Linked DNA regions of Lonchura striata. The protein of the gene in region 1 purifies or fractionates together with the protein of each later gene. This does not show direct contact. Links are inferred from orthologs where the notes say so. Each region holds a gene or a part of one and is shown in the gene's direction. Other genes may lie near its edges. The genes, in order: SF3B1, DNAJC8, ZRSR2 and USP39.

Region 1 (7,430 bases):
CAGTGCAGGTGAAAAACAAACTGCAAAGACAGAAATGCAAACAAAGCCCCAGTCCTATGCTGTCCTCCCTTCCTCTAACCCTTATTACTAACCTCATCTGTGTTTTGCAACTTCCACGAGTGCTGCTATTATTTGCTGGATTCTGTGTCTGTCATTCTAGCTTGCTCAGTGAATCCTAGTGGATCAGGAAATGCCTCTCACAAAGACTGATGTTTTTAGGTGTTTAGAATAATTGAAGAGTCAGGCATCGAGTAGTTCAAGGTGATGGATGTTTAAGGCACTTTGAGGAGTTTTTGCCTTTTTTGTTTTCTCTTGGTAGGCTCAAGATTAAAGTTCTTAAACCTTGCTTGATACCTGTTGCTGGAAGAGAGTGCTGTGTTTACTAACTCTGACTGGAAGAGTGGTCCAAATTAATCCTTAACACCAGAGGGATGCAAGATTTCTGATACACTAGAAAGGGATGTACTGTAGGACCACAGAGGTTGTTTTTTTCTAAATGTTATTTTTTATAATACTACTATCATTAGAAGGTTAGGTTTACATTCTAACTATGAGGTTTATACTATTAAAAACAATAATTTTAAGGACACCTTTCAGAGGGGAAAGAGTCAATCTTTGACAAGGAGGAGAGCATATCCCCATGTAAAAAAAAGCTCTATTCCTACAGATAAGTGAAAAGAGCAGCTGGTTTAGTGTGTTCCTTAGGTAGCCAGAGATATGCTGAGGAAAGCAAAAATATAGTAACTGTGTTCCTGTTTACAAATGAGTTTTGAATAATATTTGCCTTTGAAAGATCTCAAAATATATACATGTAGGCTGGGAAAAATTATCTACAAACATAGATGATTCATCAGGATATAAAATCACATAAATTTTCTTATATTTTATATAGTGCCAGTGAACTTGGTGTTAGTAATAATTGAAGTATTTGGCTGTGAACATGTTGTGTAAAGGATTAAACTTGTTTGATCTTCATAAGGTTTCAGTGGACCAAAAAAATCCAAAAAAGGTTTAAATCTCAATGCATATTTGCTCACAGACGGTTTTGAAATCCAGCTACTCTGTTCTTACTCTGTCCCAGTTCCAAAATAGTACTGTCTGTATTTATTAAACTGCTCAGGAAGAACATGATCTGCACCAAAGCATGCAGCCCCGGGCGCAGCTCGGGCAGGCTGGGGGAGGATTGCTGCGTGGGGAGGGCTGTGTCTGCAGCAGCCCTTACCCAACCCCCCTGGCCCTGCCAGCCCTGGGACAGCGTTAGCTGGGACACAGGGCCTGGAGCCTGCTTCCTCTTGGCAGAAAATCTACAAAAACACCCTCAGACTCCCTCAGGAGAGCCCACAGGACTGTGGCAGCACAGATGACAGTCCCATCCCATCTTTGATTTATGTTCCTCAGGCCCCCCTTACCAGCAGTGACACAAATGGTTTGTGTTCAGGTTATGCACATCCTGCAGAACACAAAGCAGCCCCCATTTAAAATTGTCCAAAAAGCTTATCTTCCAATGTGTATTTTTTAACTCATTGCTTTCCAGTGACAAAAAAATTGTCACTTTGTACATTATTTCTTCTTGACATCAGAAACAAAAATGCGACTGGAAGAGATTTTATTTTGTGCTATTTTTTTCTTGCTCATGTTGTTTGAGAAGTTTGTGCAGAGTTGAAACACAGCTGCTACAGTTAAATATTTCCTCTCTTTGTTTTAAGAATTTCTGCCCTTTAACAGACACGTGATTGTCAGTGAACTGTCCCTGGCACGTGAAGCTAAGCACAGACCTGGGCAGAATGAAGGATTAGGAGTTTAGCCCAGGTTTGTAGCATTTTGCTAATGTCAGCTCATTCTACAGCTCTTTACAGCATGGGTGGGTGGTGGGGGGGAATTAATACAAATAAAAAATTACTTTTGGAAGAAGTAGCACAAGGATGTAGTCAAGAGCCTGCCTTCTTTGAGTGAAACAGTGCCAGAAAGTTCTGCTGGCACAATAGATGGGGTCAATCAAGGCCAGGCAAAGAGTCTGGATATTTCTTCCAGCAGCAGTGCCAGCTGGTGACAGCTTAAGCTGCCCGTGAAATTGGACCTGAATCTTACATAAAGTGGGACCTTGGAGGTCTGTTCCTTAGGTGTGATTCCTGATCTGCAAAGCTTGAGTGCTCTTAAATCCGTTTCAAATGCATACAGGAATCTCTGTGAACTCGCTGTTCACTTGCATGTGTGGGAAAGGGGTGGGAACTCAGTAGGGCTGGTAAACCACTAAGTAACAGCCCTGTCCGTATTCTGTGGAAGCTGTGTGATGGAGTTAATGTTCAGGAGGCAAAAGTACATATTCAGGGATTTGACAGGCAGCCAAAAAGAACCTGGGGCAGCATACAGAATTCGGTGGAAAAGCAGGGAAGAGACACAAGTAGAAGGCAGTTTTCTCATTGTTTCATCACAGCACAATTTCTGTTAGCACTCACAACACATAAGTCTCTTTTATGTGTGAAATGGCACATTTCAGAATTATGACTTTAAAGCGTTCCTCGAGACCTCATGCCTAGCTCAGGTCTGCTTAATAACAGAAGAAATGAAATATTGTAATTGTTCTGCTTAACATAAACTGGAAGTCAGGCTGAAGAAAGGAGGGAAAGTTACTGCAAATTGATCTTCACAGTGAATCTGAGCATGTGACATTTACTTAAAATAGTTGCATGCATTAAATTCTTGCAGCAGGGAATTTGCCTCAACCTTACTGTCACATGTCTCTGGGCAGCTTGGTAAATATCTCCTTTTGTAGCCTGTGAGTATGTGCAAGTGCATCTTTCTAGAAATGTGGAATGTGAGTTTAATAACGCTGAGAATAAAGAACAGAAGACTTTGTGCACCTTCAAGTGACAGTCACTCTTAACATTTGAGTACATGTAGTTAGTAAATTATTAAAAGCAGAACTGTTCAGCAAACTCCTGCAAACCAATCAACACAAAGCAGACTGACAGATCTTTAGATCAGTTGGTCAATCAAATACATGTATTAACACAAAAACATGAGCTTCACATTATTTTCTTTAAGACAACCCTCAAAAAGCCATAATGTGAACTACCAGCTTGCATAAGCAGAGTGATTAGTGAAGAGTCAATATGGGTTTTGCCATCGTGCATTTATCACCCTTTTCAGAAACAGTTTATGCATTTTACCTGATGGGAAGTTCTCAAGTTGACATCACTTGTTGCAAAAGCTTTTGAGGAGATTAGGGACTTAGCAGGTGTACAATAAAGCCACATGATAATAAATAATCTCTAGAAGTTTACATATTACACTGTGTTATGAAATATCATTAAGCAATCGTGGACTTTGAACCTAGGTTGCATAGCCAGCCTTGGTATTTTACTACTATTAAAAGCTGAGACAATAAAAAACTAGCTTGTTCACAACACTTGACTGTAAGGGAGAGTTCCCAAGGCTTTGCATGTGGATAGAATCAATCCTATTTAGTTATCAGGTATACAATAGACAGGGATGCTGAAATGTGTATATATCATCTGGGGAAAAAAGTTAGTAATTCCCAAATGAAATGTGGAAGTGGTGTGAGGTCAGTTATTGCAGAACAGCTGAACAATTTGTTTACATCCACACTAGGTCATGTTCATAAACATCTGATCGTTCCTCCTCGCTTCTAGACTATATTGAGTTTGCCCAAGTCTCTGTTGGACACCATCAGTGGCTTTGACTGAGCTAAGTAAATTGCTTTTCAGGTTTTGTATGTGGCACAATTTTTAATGGCCTGGAGTAAGACTTAATTCCACTGCAGCAGCATATTGCTACAGATAGTCGTATAGCTTTGATTTCCCATGTCATCAGTTTCTGACTATTTTTTCCACTTAAAATTCATATAGTGACTTAAAATTCCAATTTGGAGTAATTTCTGCTTTTTGTTGTTGAAGCTTACCTCTGTGATCTTAGATTATTCCATGTATGAATCAATGTAAGATTATTCTCAATTCCTTCTTCCACCTGCCAGTTTGGTGCCATCTGCCAATATCGTAAACACAACTACCCTTCCCTCTTTCGAGCCCTTCCTAAAATACTGAACTGACTTGAATCCGGTTAACCCCCATCTTGTAGCAATAAATATATATCTGCTTTATTTCTGATATCTAGCGATCCGCCTGTTGGCACTGAGCCAGTTACCCTGACCAGATGAAACACACGTCAGGCAATTTGGCAAACAGAGCTGAGCACCCAAATTCCCGTGGGGCCCAGCCTCAGCGGCTGTGGGAAGGAAGTCTCCAGGAACCGCCCCCATATTTGGCGCTTCCATTTGCCCCGCCCTCACCGGAAGTTCCCTCACGGCGGGCCGGGCTCAGCGCGCGCCCCGCCTCTCTCCGCACGGCCATTGGCTGGGCGCGCCGTCCATCAGACGGTGGGCGTGGCCTGGCCCCCGGCCCGCGGGACGGCGGCCGCGCCTGCGCGCTGCCGGTTCTGGCGGCCCCGTGTGGCGGAAGCGGCGGGGCCGCGCCAGTTCCGCCTCGGCGTCGTTGGCGCTGCACAAAATGGCGAAGATCGCCAAGACCCACGAAGGTAAAAATAGCCCGGAAAGCCCCGTGTCCGCGCCCGCTCGCGCCGCGCTTGGACATCGCCCGCTGCTTGTGTTTCTCCCCGGCTCCGGGCAGCGTCAGGCGCGGCTCCTCGGGCGGAGGAGCACACATACAGGGCATGTGTGTAATGGCGGCTGCGCTCGTCAGCGCCGGGCCGGGCGGGGGGCGGGCATGAGGGGGAGCTCTCGCTGTGCTGGCGTGGGCCGGAGCGGCGGCCAGGCCTGTGCGGGGGAGCTCGGTCGCTGAACTCCCCATGGCCGCCTCCTTCCGCCCATCGAGGCTCGGCCGGTGCGCTGTGCAAGGCCCGCGGTGCCGCTGCGAGTTTCGCGTCAGAAATGCCAACAGCGCGCGTTCGGTCCCCGCCGAGCCCCTCGGCCTCGGCAAACAGCGCCGGGGGCGGCCGCAGAACGGGCGCTGCCCGCTGGAAGCGGCGCGGCCCGAGCCGCCGCCGTGCTTGCTGAGAGGAGTGCCCCGAAGGACGGGAAGGATCGTGAGGGCTGGAGCGTTCGAGCTGCCATTTTGCACAGACTTCTGCCGGCCGGGTGTTGACGTAGGACAGCGGCTCCCTGAGCGATCCAGCGGCTCAGGGCAGTCCCGGCGCTGTGTGCTTCTCCTTCTCTTGCGTGCGCTGCTGCCTCGGCTCTTCTCGGAGGGAATCAAAGCTCTCTTTGTGGGCATCGGCTGCGGCTTGCACCCGAGAATAATGTGTAGAATTACACTGCTTCTCTGTTTTTGCTTCGGGGTTTTTCTCTCGTGTTTCTCTGTACGATAGGTGTTCTGCTGTGTTTTGTTTTAATTTATATGCATAATTCACTAATTGGAAACTGCCTCTGGATGGTGGTTGTGCACTGAGGTAGGCAGGGCGCTTAGGCGTTCATTGTCTTTTAGTATTTTTTTAATTTTTTTTTCAGCTTTTACTGAAAAAAGCTTTTCAAGTGGAAAGCCATCATCTCCCGTGGAAGTGAGATTAATGTAGTGTTTAACACTACAGACCTAATCTGATTTTAAGGACGAAGAAAAGCTTAAACTGTTGTCCTTACTTTCAATTATTTTTTAGAATTCTAGAGTATTTTTATATAATTACAGAAATTGTCTTGTCCTTTGTTTATATAATGTGACATGCATAAGGGTTGTGTGTGATAGCACCCAAGTGAGCCTTACCCATCACAGTGCTCTGCCTCTCCTACTACCTGAAGAGATTCTTGTCATAAAATAGTACAGTTGTTGAGGTCTGGTTGTTTCCAAGCTAAAATTGCTTATTTTTTGGAGCAAATGGTGATGCATTGGCTTCAGTGAAAACATTGACATGCTTTCAGTTGCATGTGTTTTGATTAGTGTTGTATCAGAACAGGTTTTAAGGGGGAGGGTAGTTAAATAAAAAATAGACATAACAGGGTATGATCACTTAAGGGTCTTTCCCAGCATGGAGGCATTAGCTGAGCAGCTTGATTATTTTGCTTCCAGGTGGTAGCCTATTTTTTTCAGTTCCTCACTAATCTTTTGAATTGAGTTGTTTGTTACTAAATCATCCTAAAGTTTTTTTAATATATTTGTGCTGTTTATTAAATATTTCTTAATTGATGTGTTCAAGATACAGCTTGAAAGAAGCATCAAAAGAGCTGGAGTTCATGTCAGCTACATAGTTAAAGGGGGACTCTGTGTTTGAGGCCGAAAAGTGAAGTTTCAGGTGGCAGCTTATAATGCCTCAATAAGTGCATGAGCTTTCAATGCTGTTGAAGGTCGTATTTATTTTAATTTTTTTTCCTTGCTGAGAAGAGAACAGAGATCTTCAAACATAATAGATCTAACATGCGTAAGAGTGCTAAAGTAGTTAAAAATAAAGCCATGTAAGGGCAAGCTAAATGTGCAAAAATATGATAAGACATGAAAACATAGAACCTATTTACTCTAAAATACCTGTCCAGCACAGGGTCTTCTTTCTTTTTTTTTTTAACATTTAGAATAGAACTACATGCGTGGTATCAGAGCACATACTTAGAGGAAGCCTCTCTGTGAGCTAGATGTTCAGTGACTTTGAATAAAGTGTTATAATATTCAGCTGTAATAATATTCAGCATTTATGGTATGTTTCAAATCACCTGCTTGTTGAAGTTACTTCTGCTAAAATACCAAAATACATAGAGTAAAATACAGAAAAGGAGCAATCAGTAGAATATTATTCCCCTCCTCTCTTTTTTCCACCCTTATATCCCACTCCCTTTACTGTTTCTCTGTGAGTGAAGTTTCCATTATGTCCTGCTCGACTAAGCCATCAAACAAGTAGTTTGCTTTGCACAGTGTCTTTAAGCTTTGTGATCACTCTTTCTTAATTTGCTTTTTATTAAAGAGCTTTGTTAAGTATGGTGTGAGCTTTTTCAAGGAAGTGCCAGTTAGCTCAAGGAAGCTAACTGGCACATTTTGAATGTCAAAATAGCATTTTCCACCTAAATATGTGATGCTTTTCAAACACAGGCTACCTGTGGCCACAGGCTCCTGGTTCAAGGGCTCTTGTGGGTAGAGTGCTTCATTTAAACTGGCACCTGGAGGCTGTGTGGTATTAATAAAAAATTAGGGTGGCTATCAGTAAGGTTTGTTGAGCCTATATAGACTTCGTTTTTTTGTTATAGATAACCCAGTAGGTTTTTGCTGTAGGAAAATGAGAATGCTCCTTGCCCCGGCAGCAGCTGTAATCCCTGTAATTTAAAAGAGAAGGCCAGTAATGAGTGACACATCCACCCTCTTCATGAAATATAGCTGTTTTAAAAATAATGTTGGCGGACAAGGCATTGTTAAGTGCTAGTAAGAGCTATCAATAGGAAAACATTTTTGTATTGACACTTGCACTGCAGGAATCCCCCC
Region 2 (7,267 bases), on another chromosome or scaffold:
GTCGCTTCCCTTCCACACTGGGCTGAAATTCCTGGGTGTTCCACATCAATGGCAAGATGACAGAGTTGAATCTGATGTAATTTGTAGGTGAGCTGTTAACTTATAGATGGAATATTACATTTCCTGATGCTCTAGACTTCTTACCCTGACCAATCATTAGTGTGCAGCATATAATGGATGATATATTACAGATGTGCCCACCTCCAGTAAATACCTTGTTCTCTGGAGCTCTCAGAGAACAGCTCCTACATGTTTGCTAAATCCCAGGCTTTCAGGGGGAGGTCTGTCTTAAAAATCTTCAAGCTTTATTTATCAGTAAGAAACTTTCTGAGCGCCCTCAGTGTGTTCCACGACCTCTACAACAGGGAAATGCTCAGAAAAATTTCTGCCTGCAGAGGCCATGCTACTGTTATTACCCTGTGCACATATGTTTATTTTGCCTCACACAGGCAGTGTAGTTGATTTTTAGGAAAACACACACATGTGCTTTGTCTTTGTCTTGCCTCTTTCCCTTTATCTGCTCTGGAGTGGGAAGGTTGAGTGTGACAAAAAGGCCCAAAGAGACCAGACTGGGCTACCTGGGTGCCTTGCATTAAAACCAGCTTGCTAAAGATCTTGGATCTCACGTTCCTTTCTTTTCATTTTTTTCCCCCACCCCTGAGCCAAGGATTATTTGCAATTTCCATCACATTTGTGTAGGATGCAGCAGAAACCAAGCAACTTGGGAAATAGCTTCTGTTTGCTGCAGCAAAAATCACCAGCTCAGTTTTAGCTGAAAATAAATTGCACTTTTCTTTCTCCTGCAGTAGCTAAGTAGTGCTGGGCTGTGATCTTTTGAAGCACAGTACAGACAGAGGATCTGGTGTTAAGGATAAGCATCTGCTCCAAGAAGTGAAACTCTTCATGGAGCTGCACTGTAGGTGGCTATGGGAAGTCAGGGTGTTGTGAATAGGGTCAATCCAACCCTGAAGAACTAGCAAATAATCAAGATGCACCAGTTCTGGCAGAGAAGAGAGAAGAATCCCTTCCTTTGTGTACCCCTGTGCCTGGGGGACAAAGCAGGGGACTAGTCATGCCATCAGCCATTCCAGAGCAATTGAGGAAACCCAGAACAATTAGTCCCTCTGTGGCCTGTGATGTGAGTTCAGCACTATCCTTGCAGCCTTACCTGTTTCAAACATCAGCTTTGGGTTTTGGTTGCTCTGAACCAGAATTAGATGGCAGATGTTTGTTGCTTTCCAAAAGAAAACTAAGCCCTGTCTTCCAGCTTGCACAGACTGAGGGGGAATCCTGGAAAGGTCTCTTGACAACTTGTGCCTTTTTAACTCCCCAGCAACCACCCAGTCTGAGGTATAATCTTATTTTACTCCCCGGCATTCCTGCTCTGGAATCCTGCAGCAAACAGTCTGTAGCTGGCATCTCTCCATCCACAGGCCCTGGAAGTGGTGAGTGAACCCAAACTGCTTGCTGCAAGTCATTTAAATGTTCATGTCATTTGCTGGTGGGCAAGAAAGCTCTGTGGTGTAGCAAGGTACTGACTTGCACACTGCAGCCCTGAGGGAATTCAGCAGTGGTACAAAGGTCCAAATCTCTGCATTCCCAGTCTCATAGCAAATCCTCCCCCTTACAGGTGCTTGGGCAGAGGCTCTGTGGCTGAGTTTACATGGCATAGTTAGTACACCAAAATGCAGAATAAAACCCAGAGATGTGAATTTAAACCCTCATCTGTTCCTTTCTGAATACAGAGTTGGCCTAATATTTATGTCAGCTCTCCACAGTTCACTGAAGCTGTTAGTGCCAAACTTCTCACTAGTGACTCTGCAACTTTTGGGGAAGCCAACCCTGGAAAAACATTCTGAAAAAGGCAAAAAAATGGATTTTTAAATAGTTATAACCCAAACCCAATAGTATATTGCTTTTCATGACTCAGTTCATCTCACCAGGTTCAGAGAGGTGGGGAGGGTGCTTGTAATTTGTTAATTAGCCCCAAATAAAAGGAACAAAGCCCACAGGAAGCTCTGCACACAGCCTTGGCAGAACTCACCACACCACAGACTGAGCATGGCCAGGCAAGGACACTCCATAGCCTCTCTTCCAGGGCTCATCACATGGGTGACATATTCATTGAAGAAGAGGGTTTAAGGACATTAGAGTGACAGTGGTGTCACTCACTCTGCAGATAAATGTGCCACTACCTGCAATATTCACCAGGTGAGGGCAGCCCCAAGGGAGCAGCTGGCTGGGGATGTATCAGGGAACACAGGAGAAACTGGGACACCTTCAGCCAGGCAGTCACACCCTTGTAAACCACTTTCAACATCAAAGGCATCATTTGCCTCCTGCACTTTCAGACAGGGCAGTTCCAGGCACGGACCCACCCAGTCAATGTCGCTGCCACCCTTCACTGACTGTAACAAGCAGCTTTCACCAGTGCTGCACATTAACCCTGTTTGGGCAGATTTACAGACATAACAGGTATGACAGAAAAACTCTTTTCTTACCTGCCTGTTGATACATAAAGTCCCCTTCTTGTCAGTGCTTACTGCAGTAAGGCCACATTGTTTCAGGTCACTTACTGGGTATTTTATGATGAGTTTCCTTCCTACATTAAAATGGCAAAAGTGATTGAAACTGCATAAAATTAGTCTTAAGCCATGCTTTGTTGGAAAGAGACTTAACTAAAGAACACAGAAGTTGAAACAGTAAAAAAAACTAATCTACTGGGTACTTAAAGTCGCTGTGGAAAAGAACATTCACAAAGAAGTCAGGATCTCAGCTGTATTGCTCCAGGGACTAGGGCCACAAGTGACACCAGCATAACTTTGAATGCTATTTTGCTCTCTCAGTTTATGAATACTATTTTCCTCTTTCACTTTATGGCACTAAACACTAAGTGCAACAAGTGAACCTTAATTTTTTTTTTTGTGATCTGCTAGTTCAGTGGGGTAACAGCCCTCTATGCCACATAGACATTTTACTTGAAACAAAGTTACTTCTCTGCCAATGGATTGCTACAGGTACCGTTTCCCCCAACTCTTCTTGTTTTAAAGTTACCCCACCAGGCACAAATGGTCATTTCTTTCACACAAATCTAAAAAAACAATAGCTCAGTTCTGCCTACTCAAGAGTGCAGCCTTACTTTGGAAAAAATTGAAGTTTAAAACAAGATAGTGAGGTTGGTTGTTTTTGTTTTCATTGAACAGTTACTGGCAAGAAAGTGAGACTGAGTAGTTTATTTGATGTTGTTGCAGACCATAATTGTATGGATTTGGATTATGTTGACCAAAAAATACAGTCTTCACGCTGTTTTACACCATGATCAGTATTGGCCATGCACATTCAACAACAGCACCAGCTTAGTCATCTTTAAGCTGCTTGATCTTATGCTTATGGCGCTCGATTTCTTTCTGCAGACGCTCAATCTCTTTCTGGTGGTGGTGGATCTCTTCCTCGTGGTGCTTCCGTAAGGCAGAGAGCTGCTCGCGTTCCTTTTCCCTGCAAGAGAGGACGGCAGGAGGTGCAGCCCCGCAGCCGAGGGCTCGGAGAGGCCGGCCGGGCCGTGCCCCGGGCCCGCGGGAGCGGCTGCACAGGCCCCGGGCCCCGCTCACCTGAAGTACCGCTCCTCCTCGGCCGCCTGCTTCTTCCCGAAGGCGCCGCCGGCCTCGCGGATGGAGCCGCCGCCGCCGCCGCCCTTCCCAGCGCCTTTACCCAGCTCGCCCAGCTGCGGGAGAGACGGCGGTGAGCGCGGAAGGACAGAGCGACAGAGTGACGGACGGAGGGACATAGGGACAGTCAGACAGAAGGGCAGAGCGGAGGACGGACAAAGGGACGGTCAGACGCAGGGCAGAAGGGGCACTCTCGGCACACCCACCTGGTCGGCGCCCGATCCCGAGCTCCAGCGCTGCTGCTGTGCCAGCAGAGCCCCGCGCAGGCCGCCCCGCGCCGCCAGCGCCGCCACGGCCGCCATCGCCGCCTGCCCTTGGAGCGCCGGACGGGCCGGGCGCGCCCGCCCCGCCCCGCCGCGCCTGCGCGGCCGCGGCCCCGCCCTCCTCCCGCCGCGCCTGCGCGGCCGCGGCCCCGCCCTCCTCCCGCCGCGCCTGCGCGGCCGCGGCCCCGCCCTCCTCCCGCCGCGCCTGCGCGGCCGCGGCCCCGCCCTCCTCCCGCCGCGCCTGCGCGGCCGCGGCCCCGCCCTCCTCCCGCCCCCAGAGCCCCGCGGGGGCGGGGTGGTGCGTGTGACGTCACGAGTCGGGGCGGGGCCTACCGCTGCGGCGCGCGCCGTGGTCACGTGTGGTGACGGCGCGGTCACGTGTGGGTGGCGATGGCGGCGGCGGGGCCCGGCGCGGGCGCGGCCGAGGACGCGTTCCTGACCTTCTACAACGAGGTACCGCCCGCCCCCGGTACCGCCCGGCCCCGGCACCGCGCGGACACGGGCTGCCGCGGGGCCGGGGGCCGCCGGCGGGCGGGACGGGCGGAGCCGCTGTCGGGGTGGGTTGGTGCTCGCTCCGGCCCTCCCTCAGCCCTGGTGGTGCCCGGGGCTGGGGCCGCGGTCGGCCCTCGTTCCGCTGCGCTGAGCCCGGCGGGAGCCGTGCGCTCCCGTCCTGCTCGGCCTGGCTGTGGGCAGGCTGTCACCGGGGCCCCTCTCCGGCTGCCGGGCCCCGGGGTGCGGCCTGAGCGGGGGTTCTGAGGCCGTGCAAGTTCGCTGGATATTTCTTCAAATAAAAGTGAACGTTAAGTAGAAATGCATGCTTTGGTTCGGCGTGGTACTGTGAAGGGCAAAAACTGAGCTGAATAACCCGTAGTCAAAGTAAAGCGGATTTGTGTGTCTGCATCAGTGTCATTTAACGTGTTTGAAGGGCTGCACTGCCAACAACGGGTTAAAATAATGCCGTGGTTTCCAAGGCATCACAGCGACGGAAGTGCTGGAGGTGCATGGAGAGGAGGGAAGGCACAGCTGTAGAGCAGGCCTTAGAAGAAATAAACAGAACTATTCTGCAGTATTTTTTATAGGTAAAATGTGATGTTGAAAATACTGTTGGCTGTAGGAAGGGCTAAAAAATATGTGCTGCTCGTGCTTGAGAAAATAACTACAGGCTTGGGGTAAGCAAGGGGCATTATGAGCTGTAGTACAGAGGAATAAATAAAGAGGTTGTGATGGTCAGTTGATACAGGTCTCTCTTGTTCTTCAGGTAAAGCAAATTGAAAAACGAGACTCTGTTTTAACATCAAAAAACCAAATTGACCGGCTGACCCGACCTGGATCTTCATATTTCAACTTGAACCCTTTTGAGGTTAGTTTGAACATTCTATCCTCATTTCTGAATTGATGTGTGAGTTTCCTGATTGTTGAGTATTTATAAGGAAAGAAGAAATTTCTCTGGGTACAGATTACTGTGCAGAAGGTTTGCAGAGGAGAGCAGGATGGTGTATATGTGCTCACTCTCTTTCTCAGTGTTTGATGGCAGGACAAACTGTACATTGTCACATTTCCCTCATACAGCAGCACTGGAAGATTTGGATGGGTATTTTCTGAAGAGGAAGGTAGTAGCTTGGCAGGTTCTGGTCATAGCTCTCTTAATTCAGCATTTGTAGTTGTGTGCTTTATTTTGAGTGTTCATCCCACTGAACTTGTATGGTGGATAGAGTAAGAAGAGGTCTCAGTGGTCACAGTAGTGAGTAGTCTTTGAGGAACCATTGTCAGTTATAAAGTCATAACAAGTAGGAAAGCCTGAGGAAGGCAGTAAATAAACAATATTGCGTTCATCTGGAGTTGGCTTTCCCTGGTCATTTTCCTTCCTGGTGTCATCTTTGCTGCCTTTTTCAAGCCTCAGGTGCTTTTTGTAGTCCCAGTTGAGGGCTGGTCAGCAGGTTCACTTTGACAATGATCAGTTTTGTATAGGTCTTAGTACTTAAAGAGTAAATTTAGAAAGCTGTTTCAGAGTAGACTGTAGCTTTCCTGTGGGAGACTGCTTTTTATTTACAGATTCTTAGAATCAGACCAGCATCTGCTCACTTGTTGCTAAAATCTTGTATTCAGTAAATTAATTCACAAAGGAGTTCCTAAACTCTGCCACATCTGTAAAGTTCAATTAACAAGTGGTGTCACTCATGGAAACCAAACAGTAAAACTCTACAGTCTTCTTTCAAAATAATAGAATTAATAAATTCTTATAAAGTAGTATGTTTCCTGTCCAACATTCTAAGTTATGAGTGACCTGACATTGTCCCCAGGCCACCATATGCTTTAGTCTCTGTCAGACTGAGCATTGCTGCAGGACTGGTTGAAGGCTCAGACCAATTTATGGATCGTAGCTGTCTGCACAAGACTTGAACATAGAAAGCATACTGCCATAGCCAGAGGAATCTAGCATTGCTAAAAGTAGTGTCACAAATGTCAAGATTGTGAAATGTTTGTTTTACTGGGTGAAAATTCATGTAGTTTTGGGGCAAGCTTTCTGGTGTGTGCCAGTGAAGCAAGTGTTACAGAATCACAGAATATGCTGGGTTGAAAGGCACCCATCAGGATCCTTGGGTCCAACCCCTGGCCATGCACAGACACCCCAACAGCCCCACCCTGTGCATCTCTGGGAGTGCTGTTCAAACACTCCTGGAGCTCTGGCAGCCTCGGGGCAGTGCCCATTCTCTGGGGAGCCTGGTCAGTGCCCAGCACCCTCTGGGGAAAGAGCCTTTCCCTGATCTCCAACTTAAACCTCCCCTGACTAATTTTCATGCAGTTTCCTCATGTCCTGTCATTGATCATGAGAGTGAGGAGGTCAGTACCTGCCCCTGAGCTGCCCCTTGGAATGATGTTTAAGAGTGTATTGAGTTCTCCCCTCAGCCTCCTGAACAAACCAAGTGACTTCAGCCACTCCTCATGAGAGTGTTCGAGCTTGCTGACAGGACCCTGAAACTTGGAGAGCAGCATCAAACTTGCTCTGCTTTCCTGGTCTCTTTTAGGTGCTGCAGATGGATCCTGAAGCCACAGATGAAGAGATAAAGAAAAGATTCCGACAGGTATTCAACTTTTGCACTCAAAAGTTTGTGGAGGGGAGCTAAAAGTGCTGGAGAGATTGTGCAGCTGGGTGTGGATACAAGAAAAATGGTAGTAAAGCTGTATCTGGGTAGAGGAGTGTCTATTTTTGGCAGAAATGCATAGAACAATGCTTGTATCAACAAGAGGAGAGCTGCAGCAGTGTCCCTGGTACAAGCATGATAGGCTGCCTTGCCAGTGCCATGTGTGATGGGGCTATTGCCAGCTGATATAGCCATG
Region 3 (7,312 bases), on another chromosome or scaffold:
CAAGGTATGTTTTTAACTGACTACTTTGTGAGGTGTTAGATTTCTAAGTAGTTCCTCTTTTATAGTATCTTTGTTTTTCCTAACTACTGTGGAGAAACAAGTCATAGCCATGAAGAATTTCATTCACGATCTGCATTCCAGAAATACCACTGAATTAGTGCAAAGAATTATTTCTCTTATTGTACCAAATGATTTTTTTTCTTTTTTCAATAGTTTTGATCTACAGAAGTTCATGTGCAAACTGTATGTACATATTTAAAAATGCATCAAAATTTGAACTACAAAAAAAATCTGGAGAAATTTGTTGAAAAGTCAAGAGGCATATGACTTGCTAAAACAAACAAACAAATCCCCTCAATCTTCTCCATGTGATTAGCAATATACTTTTTCTGCTCCTTTCAGTGTCTTTGAAATGGAAAATCCCAGGGAAGTAAAATATTGATAGCTATTGTATAAGTTAATTAACAACTATGGCTAAACTTAACCTCAGTTTTCAAATTTGACAAATTAACAGCTTTAAACTCTGAGGAAGTTAATCTTTAGTCTCAAAGAGTTGTGTCCAATTCTTACGAGGAAAGAGTCAATGTGTGACTGTCAGCATTAGTCACTCATGGAAACGTACCTGATGAACTGCAGACCTGAACAGCAGCTGTGCACAGTGCTGTGCAGTTCCCTGGGTGCAGTGGAAATGACAAACACTGCATGTCCTTTCCATGGGGGAACAGGGTGTTGAATGAGGACTGCCACCACCGTCATCACTGTAACAGTGCAGAAGTGACTTGATTGTCACCAAGTTTTATCAGTGCTCACAGAAGCAGACAGTGTGAGAAATCATTTAGCTCTCAAGACAGTAGTGCAGGTGGGGGAAGGATGCACTTGCCAGCATTCCCATATTCACCTTGGAAAGGGCACTTTGCAGTGGAAAGCACCAGGGACAGCCCACAGTGGGGCTGGCACTGAGGGTAAGCAGAGACTTCCAGCATGGAGGGGGTGGGAGGATGGTGCTGCTGCCACCACTTCATCATCACATTTGTATAATAAATGTCAACACACCAAGAAGTGTCAATGAAAACTGACCTATTCCAAACCCACACTTCCTGGATGTCTCCTACTTAGCACATATCTTCTGGGTCCAACAAATCCAAGTTAGTGATTTGACTGCCATTGTATTCTCTTATTTCTATTTGCATCATCCAGGAAAAAACCAAAACAGATGCACAATCCCATGAGGAAAGGTCCCACTCTTCTCCTGGAGCATATGGCAAATACTATGGTGAGGACAACTTTTACATAATCTGTATGCATATCAAATATAACTTTCTTTTTTCTACAGAGGGCTTGGGCATACAACAGAGTGAACCCTTCTTATCTGCTTACATCAGTCTACAATGACAGAAAATACAAGAAATGGAAACCAGAAGAGCCACGGGGAAAGGAAGTTCAAATACGTGCCAGAGAGGCACTGCACTTCAACACAGAGCTGCTCTCCTGTGCATGCAGAGCTCTGTGCATACATCTTGAAAGGCACACAGAGATTTATAATGCAATGTGGGACATCCATGGTAGTTACTGCATGGTATGTAACTACAAGCTGTAAGATAAAAGCTTCTGTGTTCTGGGCTGTTCGGTACAGCACAATCTGTGTATCCAGTATTGACCTTATGAGAGGGTTCATGTTGTACTGGACCATGAAGGAGCATTTTTCTTTAGAAAATATGGAAGAGTGAGTTCCAAAACCTGAAGGCTGCCACAAAAATAAACTATGCTTATGGAGGTCTATGGTCTATAATTCCAGTGTGAGGAATAAGAGCTACTGACTGGAATGCAGTGTTACTTTCGATATGTGAATGGCTCTTGCCTGGAATTGCTGTATCTTTTTCTTTCTGGCACTCAATCAATTAAATTATATGAAACTCCACACCTGCCTTGAAAATCAAGCTGCTATATTTATATAAACTAACAAAATAAACAAAACTGAGAAAAATGCAACTATTCTATTCTTGTTTTGAAGAGAATGACAGCTTTTTCCAGAATCATTCTGGATATCTGAAATAGCTGTTATGTTTTGTGTTTTCTTAAAATGAGATCCTACTTTTAATTGCTGAAATATATACGCTTAAAATGGTGCCTTCCCCAAGAACATTGGAAAAATGCCATGATGAAATGTAGCATACCAAAAGAAAGAAATGACAGAATTTCTCAATTTAGACTCATAAATAGCTTAAAGGGAGGTTAATATGGTACTTCCTCTGTTGACGGGCGGATGAAAGTTATAATTTCTTAATGAAATAAGATTATGAAACACATTTGGTTGTTTTTTTTTCAAAACTTTCATGGGTGTCAATGGTTCATCAGTTGTTAAATGCCCAATACTGCCATCTTCTGTATCCAAGAAACAGCAAATTATCTGTTACTTTACATGTATGTTCTGCACAAGGAACAGTGGAAGTACTACTGATGACAAGTCCTTCATTTTAAGAGAGTCTAGATCTGGCACACGGTTAAGTAACAGCAAAGAGTCATGGTCTGAATATTCATTGGTCAAGTGGCAAATGTAACTGCTGACTACAGCAGTCACATGCCTGCTTTGAATAACTTCACTGAGCTTCAGAGTAGGAAAGAGGATGCTCATTATGCTGTTAATAAACAGCACAGTCAATTAGTCAGATTTTGACAGAGCCTGCTGTGGTGTGCTTCCTCGTCAGCAGCTCCGGCTGTTTCTGCAGTGTTCTACCTCCAGGATACAAGAAATAAGCTCCTACACCGTGGTTTAGGAGAATAATTTATACCTTAATCAACAATGTACATTATTAATAGCCATGCAAAACATGCCCAAATGAAAGCTACAAGCACGCTGCCTCTGAAGGCTGCAATCTATCACTCCTGTCACAGAGGAATTGATTACTGACAACTTGCAGATTTCCACCATCACACCCATGAGGGTCTAAGTGGAATAGTTTCCTGCCATGAAATGCATTTATAATCAGGTCAGGTACAATGCCTCAGAGACAATGATGGGAATATATCTGCAGTGTGAGCTAAACTGATCAATGCACTGGAACTGTGGCTTCCCTCAGCTCCAAGAGCCTGTGGGGCAGGGCAGCCATGCCCACAGCAGCCAAGGGACACACTGCAAGTTCACCTCACGGCAGGCACCGAACAGCCCGCTCCCACACACAGCTCCCAGCACCAGCCAGGCAGCTCACACACGGAGCACAGGCTGGGGACATTACAGTCAGGAAAGGCCGAGGGAACTGGGCCTGTTCAGCCCTGAGGAGACAGCCGAGAGGAGACCTCATCAACACGTGTTAGAAAGGTGTCAGAGCATGGGTCCAGCTGTGGACCATATTCTCGTGCTGCCGAGCAGAACAGGCAACAGGCAGAAACTGATGCACAGGAAATTCCACCTGAACATGAGCAAGAACTTCCTTTACTGTGAAAAACGCCAATCACTTGCTTTAAAATTTTAAAAGTTTAATAGTAATAAAATGGTTATAGAGTAGTAAGAATTTAGACAGAGTTAGGACAATGAAGGACAATAAAAACAAAGAAATACGGACAGTCTGGATGCTTTGTTCAATACAGCATGACTGCTAACAAAGGAACAACCCTTAAAAGTCATAGCGCTTTGCATATTCACATGTCTCATACATGATGCAAATATTCCTTTCAAACTAGGAATTTTCCTGTTTTCTGTCAACTCTCCCCTCATCCTGTAGATCAATCCTTTCGGTTCCGAGGTGTCCAGATGTTGGGTACGGTCCAATGAAGAGGCCATAAAATCCCATCTTAGAATTTTTGGGGGTCCTGTTGCTGTTACCTCTATGTGAACAATTTCTTGCTTCTTATCCCTTCCCTGTGCTGGTCACAAAAAGGTATCTTAAATCACATAGCTTCTATTTTAATATTACACTATAGCCTAAAACTGTACTTACCACACTTCTTTCAAAAGATTAATAAAACATTACTAAAAAAGGACTAATACAACGTTACTTTCAAACATAACGCATATAGTATTCATTTTAATACTGCGAAGAGCTAATCATAGAATATTCAATCTTTTTCACGTTTACTGTGTGTGACCAAGCACTGGAACAGGTTGCCCAGAGCGGGTTGGAGCCTCCCTCACTGGGGATGGTCCGGACCCGCCCGGACACAGCGCTGCGCCCTGTGGTGGCCCCGAGCAGGGAGGCCGGGCACACGAGGCACTGCGCTCCTCACACCCGGCCCGGTTCTGTGAGGGGAGAGCTGGGACGGCAGCTCCCGGCGCCGCCCTCAGCCGCGGCCCCGCGGCGCGCGCCCGCCGGAACCGATCGCGCGCCCTTCCGCCGCGGGGTCACGTGACGTCCCGTCGGTCCCGCAAGATGGCGGCGCCCATGTTGGTGCCCGAGCCCCCCCTGGGGAAGCCGAGGTGAGGCCGCGGCCGGGCCGGGGCCGGGGCCCCCCGGGACAAGGGGAAGGGCCCGGGGGTCCCTGCGGAGAGTCGCGGCCCCGTCCTGGCCGGGACCGCCCGGGCGCACGACGGCCGCGGCTGAGGCCGCCCCGCGGCCGGGCCCGGCAGTGGCGCAGCTCCGCGCGGACGGGGGCACTGGGCTCGGCGGTTCTCGGGACGGGAGCGCGGCCGCGCTGGGGGCGCCGAGCGGGCCCGGAGGCGGCGCAGCCGCGGGCGGGGGGCGCTGCCGGTGCCGTTCCGTGCCGGACCCGGGGCAGCGGGGCCGCCGTGCCGGCCCGCCCTCGCTGCGGCGGGCGGGACAGCATTCCGCGCCCGGAAAGCGGCGGCCCGGACTGATGTGAGGAGCAGGGCAGGAGCGGCATGTGCGTGCCTGGCCTGAGCCCCGTCCAGCCCCGCCGCGGAGGCTGCGGGCCAGGGCGGCCGCGCTCACAGCGGGATTCCCCGGTCGGGCTCTCCGGGTGTTTGCCAAGGCCTTGCCCCGGTGTCGTGCCGCTGGACGCAGAGACGGACCCAGCCCTGGGGCAGCTTGGGCGCCGCTGCTCCTTGTGCGCCAGCTGTGTGCCCACCCCCTCCTGCGCTGGCCGGGGAGTAAGGGGAGTTCCTCCCTCCCTTCCTTCCTTGGGTTTCAAGAACAAGAAGTTCCCAGGAACTGGGAAAGAGCTTCTCGCTTGTCAGCCCCAGGCACCTGCCGAGGGCTGCGATCCATTTCGGGCAGGTCCCGAGGTGAGGACCGGCCAGGCTGGCCGGGCCGGAGGCAGAGGTCTGTGCGGGTGGGCGCCGCTGGCAGGACAAGCACTGTGGTGTCACCTTGGCACGCACAGGTGTGCACGCGGTGAGGATGTGAGCAATCCTGAACAGGACTGGAGATGTGGGTGACGTTCTGGCTGGCTGAGTTGCACTTGTGGAATCTTTTAAAATTACACACTCCAAAAGGGGAAGGTTTCAATCTCCCATCAGCATTTGGTGTGGCACAGTGACAAGAGCTGAAGATCATCCCTCCTTCCCAATTCTCCATTATGACCTGGTTAAGAAGAGAAAAGATAGAATGAAACTTGACAGAAAAGAGCTTAATGGGAAAAGGCTTTTAGACATTAGAGGCATTTTAGCCAAAGTGAAAACATGGTGGTGCCTGTAGGCAGCTGTTCAAAGCTATTAGACAAGCAAGGAAGAGTCTGGCCAAGCTTCTGTAGCAGAAGAGCAGTGCTGAGCATTGTCTGTGGGGGCTGTGGAGTGTGTTTTGTTAGCTGTGCATTGAGACTGCTGCCTGTGGAGAATATCAAAGAAGAAAAGAAAGGACTTGAACTTTCATGTTCTGTAAAGGAAAGACTAGAATGTGCTGAGAGTTGCACAAAAATTGTAGGGTAGGAGATCCCTAAGTTTTACTCCCTTATCTTGTCTAGTGACTGAGTTTCAGGAGCTGAAGGAGATTTCATGGAGTTGGTGATGATATTGAGTACTGCCGAGCTCATAAAGGTGACACCACATGTATGGTGTCTTCTTGCTGCTATCCATGTGCAAGTCTGAGCAGCGCAGCCACAGATTTACAGATTTCATTGTCACATCAGATGCTGCTGTGGAGTTACTGTTTCGTATAAATGCCTAGTAATTTTGCAGTTTGTGGGATTTTGTATTGCTTAAGGAAATTAAGTGAATGTATGACAGTAAAATTTGTTTGGCTGTCTTAACATAAGTAATGTTCTCTCATCCTCAGCCATCAAAAGTACAGAGCTATTCTGAAGAAGGAGAAGAGGAAAAAAAAGCGGCAGGCACTTGCCAAACTAAGAGACTCAGGTAACTGAAGTATTTGGTACTGTCAGTGGAACTAGAAGTGACTGGGTTGTTTTTGGGTTTTTCTTTTTAAATATGTCAGTTTGTGTATCTGTGTTGGCTGTAACATGCAGTTATGTAGATATATTGAATTGTGCTTTTTTTTCAGAAGCTGCAGAAAAAGATGAATCTGTGTCTGAGGAAGAAGAGGAGGAAATGGAAGAAGAGGAGGAAGAAGAAGAAGAAAAAAAACTTGAGGCAGAAAGGTGAGAAATATAGAAAATGTCATATGGGCAATAAACATTTTTGTAATCAAATCCATTTTAGTACTTTGAAAAGTTTGAATATATTCTGTGCAACACAATCTTTATTGATTATGTCAAGCTACACAGTCCTTTCTTCTAAAGCCTGAGTGATTCCTATGGAAATTTGTATTTTCAGTAAGATTAAATAAGATGCAGCTATTACTGTAGTAATAAATACAATATTGAATTGTATTTATGAGAGTTGCATCAGTCATGGGTAGTCCTTAAGTTGATGGTTTCAGTGGTGTCTGGTTTCTTTGTTAGACAAAAACTACATGAGCAGTGGTTGCTGAGAGAAGAAAAGGCCCAAGAAGAGTTCAAGCTAAAGAAAGAAAAAGAAGAGGCTGCAAGAAAGCGTCAAGAGGAAGAAGAGGTATAAAGATATAAAACCTTACAGTAGTGCTAGACAACAAGATAGACTTAGTGTAATAACTGTGATGGACCCTTTTTCTTGATGCTGGTGTGTTTGAAAGCATAGACTCTCCACTCTTTGTATAGAAAAGCACAATTGAAAAGAGAAGAAAACAACAGCTCTTAAAATGGTATTTGTCAGATTTAGTTGCTTCTGACTGGATGAAAACTTAATGGTCAAGCAGTTGTAGTGAAACATGGTAATTTTGATTGATTGTAAAGTGTTGTTCTTTATTTTTTTTAATTATAAAGAGGAAGATCAAAGAAGAATGGGAAGAGCAACAAAGAAAAGAGAGAGAAGTGGCACAGCAGAAGCAACAGGAGAAGAGAGAGAGAGAGGTGATTTGTGGTGGTGGGAGGATATACATGTTATATG
Region 4 (8,007 bases), on another chromosome or scaffold:
AGTTGCTATCCAGCAGCTCCCAGTATGCCCAGTATAGCCTGGTACTCCCAGTATGCCCAGTATAGCCTGGTGCTCCCAGTGTTCCCAGTGCTCCCAGTATTCCCAGTATGCCCAGTGCTCCCAGTATATCCTGGTGCTCCCAGTGTTCCCAGTGCTCCCAGTATATCCTGGTGTTCCCAGTGTTCCCAGTGCTCCCAGTATTCCCAGTATCCTCCTCGTCCCCCCCAGTCCCCCCGGTGCCCGCGCCACCCTCCCGCCGCCAGGGGGCGCTGCCACCGCGCGCACAGCCAAGATGGCGGCGGCCGCGCGCGCGCTGCGGGTGAGGGGAGAGCGGGAATGGGAAAAGGGAAAAAAACACCGGGAAAACGGGAAAATACCGGGAATGGGAGAAACACCGGGAATGGGGGAAAAACGCCGGCGGACACTGAGCGTGGGGGACACCGGGGAAGGCGCTGACAAGGGACAGCGGCTGTGGGGACAGCGGGGATGTGGCGCTGGGCGTGGGGGGCTCTGGGGAGGAGGGACAGGGGCTGTGGTGGCACTGGGGACACAGGGCTGGCCCTGCCAGGCTGTCCCCTGGCCCCTGCCTGGCCCTGTCCCTAGCCTTGTCCCTGTCCCCTTGCAGGTCCTCCCCCGCGCCCTCCGTGTCCCCAGCGCCACCCGGCAGCTCCACAGCAGCCCCGTGTGCCTCAAGGTGAGTCCTCGGGACCCCGCGGCCGTGTCCCCTGGCCCCGTGTACCCTGTCCCTGTGTCCCGTCACCCTGTCCCCCGTGTCCCCTATCCCTGCTGTCCCCATTGTCCCCACTGTCCCTGTCCCCTGTCCCCACTGTCTCTGTCCCCACTGTCGCTGTCCCTCTCCCTGTCCCACTGTCCCTGTCCCCTGTCCTCCCTGTCCCTGTCCCCTCTCCCTGTCCCTGTCCCCTCTGTCCCTGTCCCTGTCCCACTGTGGCTGTCCCTGTCCCACTGTCCCTGTCCCTTCTCCCTGTCCCCTGTACCCTGTCCCTGTCCCCTCTGTCCCTGTCCCTGTCCCACTGTGGCTGTCCCCGCAGGCACGGGCGGCGCGGGTGCGCGCAGGCAGGGGAGACAAGGCGGTGACGTACGAGCAGGCGCACGCACCCCATCACATCGGGCACCGCAAGGGCTGGCTGTCCCTGCACACCGGTGAGTGACACGGGGGGGACAGGGGCTGGCTGTCCCTGCACACCAGTGGGTGACACCAGGGACACGGGGGGACATGGGCTGGCTGTCCCTGCACACCAGTGGGTGACATGGGGGGACACGGGGGGACAGGGGCTGGCTGTCCCTGCACACCAGTGGGTGACACCAGGGACACGGGGGGACATGGGCTGGCTGTCCCTGCACACCGGTGGGTGACACGGGGGGACACAGGCACAGATGGGCATGGGGGGACACGGGGACAGCAGGGACATGGGGCACACGGGCATGGGGGACAGGGGGCACAGGGATGGGGCACAAGGGGCACACGGGCATTGGGGACAGGGGGAAGATGGACATGGTGGGACAGAGGAGACAGGTGGTGCCACTATTGCCACCACCACCCTGTCCCCTCAGGGAACTCTGCGTGGTCAGGCAGGCAAAGTGGGCAGCCACCAAGGCCAGCTGTGCCACCCGTGTGTCCCCTCATGGAACCTGTGTGGCCAGGCAGGAATGGCACAGGGGCGGTCACCAGTGCCACCACCCTGTGCCCTCAGGGAACCTGCGTGGCCAGGCAGGCATGGTGCAGCAGGGGGTGACCCTGTGCCAGCTCTCTGTGCCCTCAGGGAACCTGCGTGGCGAGGCAGGCACGGCACAGTGGGCAGTGACCCTGTGCCAGCTGTGCCAGCTCTCTGTGCCCTCAGGGAACCTGTGTGGCGAGGCGGGCGCGGCGCAGCGGGCGATCGAGGACGCGTTCCTGCGGCGGTTCCTGGCCGGGACCTTCCCGGGGCTCCTGGCGGATGAGCTGGTGCTGAAGCGCCGCGGGAACCTGCTGGTGGTGTGTGCCCTGCTGGGCCGGGCACTGCCACCCCACAAGCTCTACTTCCTGCTGGGCTACGCCGAGACCCTGCTGGGCAACTTCTACAAGTGCCCCGTGCGCCTGGAGCTGCAGACCGTGCCCGCCCGCGTGCCCTACAAGTACCTCTAGGGCCGGGAATAAACCTATAAACATCCCACAGGGAATATCCTATAAACGACCCTAAAGAAATGCCCTGGGGTATCCTCAGTGTGCCCTACAAGTGTCTATAGGGCTGGGAATAAACCTAAAAATGGCCCTAAAGGAATGCTCTGGGGTATCCTCGTGACAACCCTACAGTGAATAAACTCCAAGATCTGCTCTGAACAGACCCTACAACAAAAACCCAGCGAGACCCTCTCGAGGGGAACACTGCCACAAGCAGCAGGAGCTCTCTGGGGAGACCCTGCAATGCCAAACCAGGAGCATGAACTTTGGGGAGACCCTATAATAATAAATAAATAAATACCAGGATCTGTTCTGGGGTGACCCCACAAAAATTAAGAATCCAGAATTTGATACAGAGATACTCCACAATAACAAACCAGCAGGATGAACTCTTGAGGAGACCCTACAATAAATAAACACCAGGATGTGTTCTGGGGAGACCCTACAACAAATACTGAGAGCTCTTTGGGAAGACCCTACAAAAACAGAGCTGTGCTATCAGCCTGGGGGAGATCCTCCAATCCCAAACCAACCGGGGGATTTCCAGGAAAATCTTACAATACCAAACGTGCCAGACCCTCCAGGGAAACCCTACAATTAATAAACACCAGAATCTGCCTGGGGCAGACCCTGCAGTAACCTCGCTGCTGGCAGACCCTACAAAGAGAGCAGTGGGGTGGTCCCACCCCTACAATCAGCCCCATGTCCCACCCTGGGGACAACAGCTCAGGGGACCCGCCCTGGGGACACCCTGGGCACAGCTGGCCTTGGCCACAGGTGCCACCAACCTGGGCTGGGGGCAGGACGGGGACGCAGAGGCGACCCTGGGACACAGCAGCACCTGAGGAGGGGACACACAGAGCTGGGGACACCCAGGGAGGGGACACAGTGGCACCTGGGAGGACCTGGCAGCCAGCGTCGGTGCCCGGGGCCACCCTGCCGGGGCTGCTGAGGGGGACAAGTGACACTCAGGGACGCAGGAGCTGCGTCACTTCCCCCCGTGCCTCAGTTTCCCCAGCAGTGAAAGAACCGGAGCCTCGCAGCACCTTTATTGACGGCGGGGTGGGGGGACAGCGGCGGTCCCGTGGGGGTGGCAGCGTCCGGGGCCGCAGCGGTGTCACCGCGGGGGTGGCAGCGTCGGGGGCTGCGGTGTGTCACCACGGGGGTGGCAGCGTCGGGGGCTGCTGCAGTGTCACCCGGTGCCCCGGCGCTTGCTGAGCTCGTCCTGCACGCGCTGGCACAGGGCCCGGCGCAGCGGCGGCTCCAGCGGGCTCCGGGCGCACACCCGGCGGGTCACCTCCTCAGCGCTGTCCCCCTGCGGCACGCACGTCACCCTCGGGCTCCCGGGGACCCCCGGTACCCCACTGTGCCCCGGGGACCCCCAGTACCCAACTGTGCCATGGGCCCACCCACGGGACACCCACTGTGTCCTCGGGACCCCCTGGTACCCCACTGTGCCCTAGGGAGCACCCCTGGTACCCCACTGTGCCCTGGGGAGCCCCTGGTACCCCACTGTGCCACAAACCCCCCCACGGCACCCCCCCTGCCCCCGGGGACCCCCCAGGACACCCCCCACTGCCCCGGGCAGCCCCCCTGCCCCACGGACCCCCCTCGGGTACCCCCCGGGATTCCCCGTGGGACCCCCCCACTCTCTCTGTGGACCCCCAGGACACCCCCCGGGTTTCCCCGTAGGACCCCCCAGGACACCCCCACTGTCTCCGGGGACCCCCAGGACACCCCCCGGGATGCCCCGTGGGATCCCCCCCCGGCCCCCGGTTGGCACCTGGTGCACGATCACGGCCGTGACCCGCCCGTCGTCCCCCTCGTACTCGAGGCAGAAGAGCCGCGGTCCCCGGGCCGGCTCCGGGGGGGCCCCGCCGCCCGCGGGGGGCGGCCCCGCGCTGGCATCGGCCCCGGGCCCGCCTGCGGCACCGCGCCTCAGCTACCGGGGCCGCCGGGGCCACCGGACAGCGTCCCGGCGGTGCCCGTCCCCATCCCGGGTGTCCCCAATTCATGGATGTCCCCATCGCAGGTGTCCCTCCAAATCCCCGGGTGTCCCGCACCCTCGTGTCCCCATCCCCACCCTCGGTCCCCCGGTGTCCCCGCACCCCCGGTGTCTCCGCTCCCCGGTGTCCCCCCCCACCCCCGGTGTCCCCCCACCCCGGTGTCCCCGGGGCTGCCGCCCCTTCCCCGCCCATCCCCGGGCTCCCCGCACCGCGGTCCCTCGGGAGCGCGGCTCTCCCGCCCCGGTGCCCCCGTGCCCCGGTGCCCCCGTGCCCCGGTGCCGCTCACCGCCGCCCCGCTGGGGCCGGTACACCGGCTGGTCGGGCCGCCGGGGCCGCGCCGGGCCCGGGGTCAGCCGCGTCCTCGCTCGGCCCCGCGCCTGCCGCACCGCGCGCTCGTACGCGTCCCTGCGCGGCGGCGGCACAGCGCGGTTACCGGCTGCGGGGGCCCGGGACCGCCAAACCGGCCCGGTGACCCCGCCGCACGCCGGTCCCGGGGGGGATGCCGGTACCTGGCGAGCTGGTTGCGGCGGATGTGCCGCACGAAGCCGTGGCTCATGTCCAGCCGTCCCCCGGGCCGGCAGCGCCAGCCCGGTGCCGCCGCCGCCGCCGCCGCCTCCATTCCCGGTACCGGCGGCCGCGGTCTGGACCGGGACGCGGCTCCTTTAAGAGCCCCGCGGGCCCGGCGCGCGCGCGCAGGCGCAGTAGCGCCTCCTCCCCGCAGCGGCGGCCGCGCATGCGCGGAGTAAGGCGGGCGGTTTGAGCCCCCCTTCCCCGCGCCGCGCATGCGCACAGCGGCCGAACCGCCGCCATGTCGAGCCGGGGGCGGCGGGACCGCGACTCCCGCGACCCCCGGGAGCCCCGGGAGCCCCGGGAGCCCCGCGAGCCCCGCGGCGCCTCCCGCAGCCGCCGCGACGCCGACGCCGAGCGGCCGCGGGGCCGGCGGGACGCGGAGCGGGAGCGCGCGCGGCGGGAGGCGGCGGAGGCGCTGCCGGTGGATCTGGCGCGCGTCAAGCGGGAACCGGGCACCGGCACCGGCACCGGCAGCGGCGTCTGGGGGGGCTCCGGCAGCGCCGCGCCCGTGCGGGTGAAGAGGGAGCGGGAGCCCGATGGAGACTCGGACCCCGAGCCCGAGCCCGCCGGTGGGCACCGGGAGGAGCGGGTGGGACCGAGGGGCTGGGGGACACCGGGGCTGGGGGGACATTGGGGTGTGAGGGGACACCGGGGGTGAGGGGACACCGGGGCTGAGGGGACACCGGGGCTGAGGGGACATTGGGGTGTGAGGGGACATTGGGGTTGAGGGGACACCGGGGCCGAGGGGACAATGAGGGTGTGAGGGGACACCGGGGGTGAGGGGACACCGGGGTGTGAGGGGACACCGGGGGTGAGGGGACACCGGGGGTGAGGGGACATTGGGGTGTGAGGGGACACCGGGGGTGAGGGGACACCGGGGGTGAGGGGACATTGAGGGTGTTTGGGGGGTTCTGGGGTGGGAGTGGGGTATTTGGGGGGGGGGGGTTGGGGTGGGAGTGGGGTGTTTGGGGGGTTCTGGGGTGGGAGTGGGGTGTTTGGGGGGTTCTGATACTGGAGGGTCACCAGGACTGGTCCCGGGGTCCTGAGCTCAGCTCTGGGCAGGGTTTGGAGGCTCAGCCCTGGAGGTGTCACAGAGGGGGCTGGGGGGATCATCCTCGTGTTTTCGGGGTCCTCGTGCCCCCTTTTCACACCCTGCCCTCCCCAGTGCGCTACGGGCGCTTCGACCCCGAGGACCAGCGCAGCCGGCACTGCCCCTACCTGGACACCATCAACAAGTGGGTGACGGGGCTCTTTGGGGTGCCCCTGGGGGTCCCCCAGCTGCCCCCCAGCCCCGTGACACCGCTCTGCCCCCCAGAAGTGTCCTGGACTTCGACTTTGAGAAGCTCTGCTCCATCTCCCTGTCCCACATCAACGTCTATGCCTGCCTTGTCTGCGGGAAGTACTTCCAGGGTGAGAGCTGCTGGGGCATAGGGACAGCCAGGAGTGATGTGGGACACCCGAGGGACAGCCAGGAGTGATGTGGGACACCCGAGGGAGAGCCCAGGAGTGATGGGGGACACCCCAGTGCTGCTTTGAGGGACACTTGGGCATAGGGGTGGTGGTGAGGGGGACACCCAGGGACTGGGGTGAGGCACAGGGGGTCTGGGGTGTTGCTGGGGACACCCAGGGACAGGGAACAGCCAGGGACAGGCTGCTGCCAAGGTGTACAAAGAGGGGAGGGACACCATGGGGACACCCAGGGTGGCTGCTGGGGTGCTCAGGGACCCTCCAGTGGGCACAGCCCCCGTACGTGCCCAGGGGATCCTCTCTGTGCCCCCTGCCTCTGGCACGGCGCTCGGTGCCATCCCTGGTGCCACTGTCCCCCACAGGCCGCGGGCTGAAGTCACACGCCTACATCCACAGCGTGCAGCTGAGCCACCACGTGTTCCTCAACCTGCACACGCTCAAGTTCTACTGCCTGCCCGACAACTACGAGATCATCGACTCCTCCCTCGAGGACATCACGGTGCGGGGGCACTGGGGGGCACCGGGGCTGCCTTGGGACCTCCAGGATCGAGGGGTTGGGATCTGTTCCAGATTGAGGGGTTTGGGTTGGGGTCCCCCAGCTCTGAGGGCTCTCTCCCCCCACAGTACGTGCTCAAGCCCACCTTCACAGCCCAGCACATTGCCCACCTGGACAAACAGGCCAAGCTGTCCCGGGCCTACGATGGCACCACGTACCTGCCTGGCATCGTGGGACTCAACAACATCAAGGCCAACGACTACGCCAACGCTGTGCTCCAGGTGACACCTGGGTTAAGGCTTCCTTTTGGGGTGAAACGCCCCAGAACATCACTGTGGGTCTGACAGGCAGATATCACACCTTGTCTCCTATGGGCTGTACACTGTGAGGGTGTCCAGGCTTCATTCTGGGCTGAAACCCTCCCAGAATCCTGTTCTGGTGCTCTCTGGGATGAGTCCCACCTCTTTTCCCACAGCATGTTCACATGGGGAGTGCTGCCTTCATTTTGGGCTGAATCCCCTCTGAAATCCTCCTCAAACCCCACATTGGGGGTCCTGAGGGTGGATCCCACCTTCTCTTCTACAGGTGTTACACCTGGGGGGTGCAGCTGGCCTTTTAGGGTGAAAGCCCCACATAAACCTCCCCAAACCCCTCTGTGGGGTGATCACCCCACCTCTGGATCCTTCCCAGGCTTCTCCACCCATGGGGGCTTGGGGGCTTGTGGAGATTCCCCGCCCATGGCAGTGCAGGGCCTGCCCCAAAGCCCCTCCCAGATCCCTCCTGTGGGGGTCCCAGGGCTGAATCCCCCTGCTCCATCCCCAGGCCCTGTCCAACGTGCCTCCCCTGAGGAATTACTTCCTGGAGGAGGAGAACTACCGGCGCATCCAGCGCCCGCCCGGGGACATCATGTTCCTGCTGGTGCAGCGCTTCGGGGAGCTGATGAGGAAGCTCTGGAACCCCCGCAACTTCAAGGCCCACGTGTCGCCCCACGAGATGCTGCAGGCCGTGGTGCTCTGCAGCAAGAAGAACTTCCAGATCACCAAGCAGGGTGGGATTTGGGGGACAGGGCTGGGGGCAGAGCTGGGTTTGAGGGGAAGAGCTGGGGCTGGGGGCTCTGGGTTTGGGGTGCAGGGCTGCTCTGGGTTCGGGGTGCAGGGCTGCTCTGGGGGTGCAGGGCTGCTCTGGGGGCTCTGGGTTTGGGGCGCAGCAGGACCCAGGCTCAGCTCTAGCTCTGCTCTTGCAGGGGATGGGGTGGAGTTCCTGTCCTGGTTCCTGAACGCGCTGCACGC

The links.
Region 2: the proteins of SF3B1 (region 1) and DNAJC8 purify together in Homo sapiens (co-immunoprecipitation; 4 studies listed by BioGRID and IntAct, with this or other methods). This does not show direct contact. The link is inferred for Lonchura striata from reciprocal best matches to the Homo sapiens genes SF3B1 and DNAJC8.
Region 3: the proteins of SF3B1 (region 1) and ZRSR2 purify together in Homo sapiens (affinity purification with mass spectrometry; 3 studies listed by BioGRID and IntAct, counting the BioPlex papers as one, with this or other methods). This does not show direct contact. The link is inferred for Lonchura striata from reciprocal best matches to the Homo sapiens genes SF3B1 and ZRSR2.
Region 4: the proteins of SF3B1 (region 1) and USP39 purify together in Homo sapiens (co-immunoprecipitation; 3 studies listed by BioGRID and IntAct, with this or other methods). This does not show direct contact. The link is inferred for Lonchura striata from reciprocal best matches to the Homo sapiens genes SF3B1 and USP39.

What each region holds. Positions count from the first base shown.
Region 1 is NC_134610.1:28,287,096-28,294,525, forward strand, and holds the start of SF3B1 (splicing factor 3B subunit 1), read left to right. Parts: upstream 1-4,429; 5' UTR 4,430-4,526; coding exon 4,527-4,554; intron 4,555-7,430. UniProt on the Homo sapiens protein: Component of the 17S U2 SnRNP complex of the spliceosome, a large ribonucleoprotein complex that removes introns from transcribed pre-mRNAs.
Region 2 is NC_134628.1:5,314,377-5,321,643, forward strand, and holds the start of DNAJC8 (dnaJ homolog subfamily C member 8), read left to right. Parts: upstream 1-4,250; 5' UTR 4,251-4,318; coding exon 4,319-4,381; intron 4,382-5,186; coding exon 5,187-5,288; intron 5,289-6,954; coding exon 6,955-7,011; intron 7,012-7,267. Other genes in the region: ATP5IF1 (ATPase inhibitor, mitochondrial), read right to left, coding at 3,357-3,495, 3,609-3,721, 3,872-3,967. UniProt on the Homo sapiens protein: Suppresses polyglutamine (polyQ) aggregation of ATXN3 in neuronal cells.
Region 3 is NC_134604.1:100,231,708-100,239,019, forward strand, and holds the start of ZRSR2 (U2 small nuclear ribonucleoprotein auxiliary factor 35 kDa subunit-related protein 2), read left to right. Parts: upstream 1-4,297; 5' UTR 4,298-4,364; coding exon 4,365-4,411; intron 4,412-6,164; coding exon 6,165-6,244; intron 6,245-6,389; coding exon 6,390-6,486; intron 6,487-6,789; coding exon 6,790-6,898; intron 6,899-7,188; coding exon 7,189-7,275; intron 7,276-7,312. UniProt on the Homo sapiens protein: Pre-mRNA-binding protein required for splicing of both U2- and U12-type introns. Selectively interacts with the 3'-splice site of U2- and U12-type pre-mRNAs and promotes different steps in U2 and U12 intron splicing.
Region 4 is NC_134634.1:361,677-369,683, reverse strand, and holds the start of USP39 (ubiquitin carboxyl-terminal hydrolase 39), read left to right. Parts: upstream 1-4,993; coding exon 4,994-5,324; intron 5,325-5,920; coding exon 5,921-5,990; intron 5,991-6,070; coding exon 6,071-6,165; intron 6,166-6,584; coding exon 6,585-6,721; intron 6,722-6,846; coding exon 6,847-6,999; intron 7,000-7,540; coding exon 7,541-7,766; intron 7,767-7,961; coding exon 7,962-8,007. Other genes in the region: MRPS24 (small ribosomal subunit protein uS3m), read left to right, coding at 293-319, 626-694, 1,050-1,161, 1,860-2,143; C32H2orf68 (UPF0561 protein C2orf68 homolog), read right to left, coding at 3,372-3,494, 3,963-4,102, 4,475-4,590, 4,695-4,804.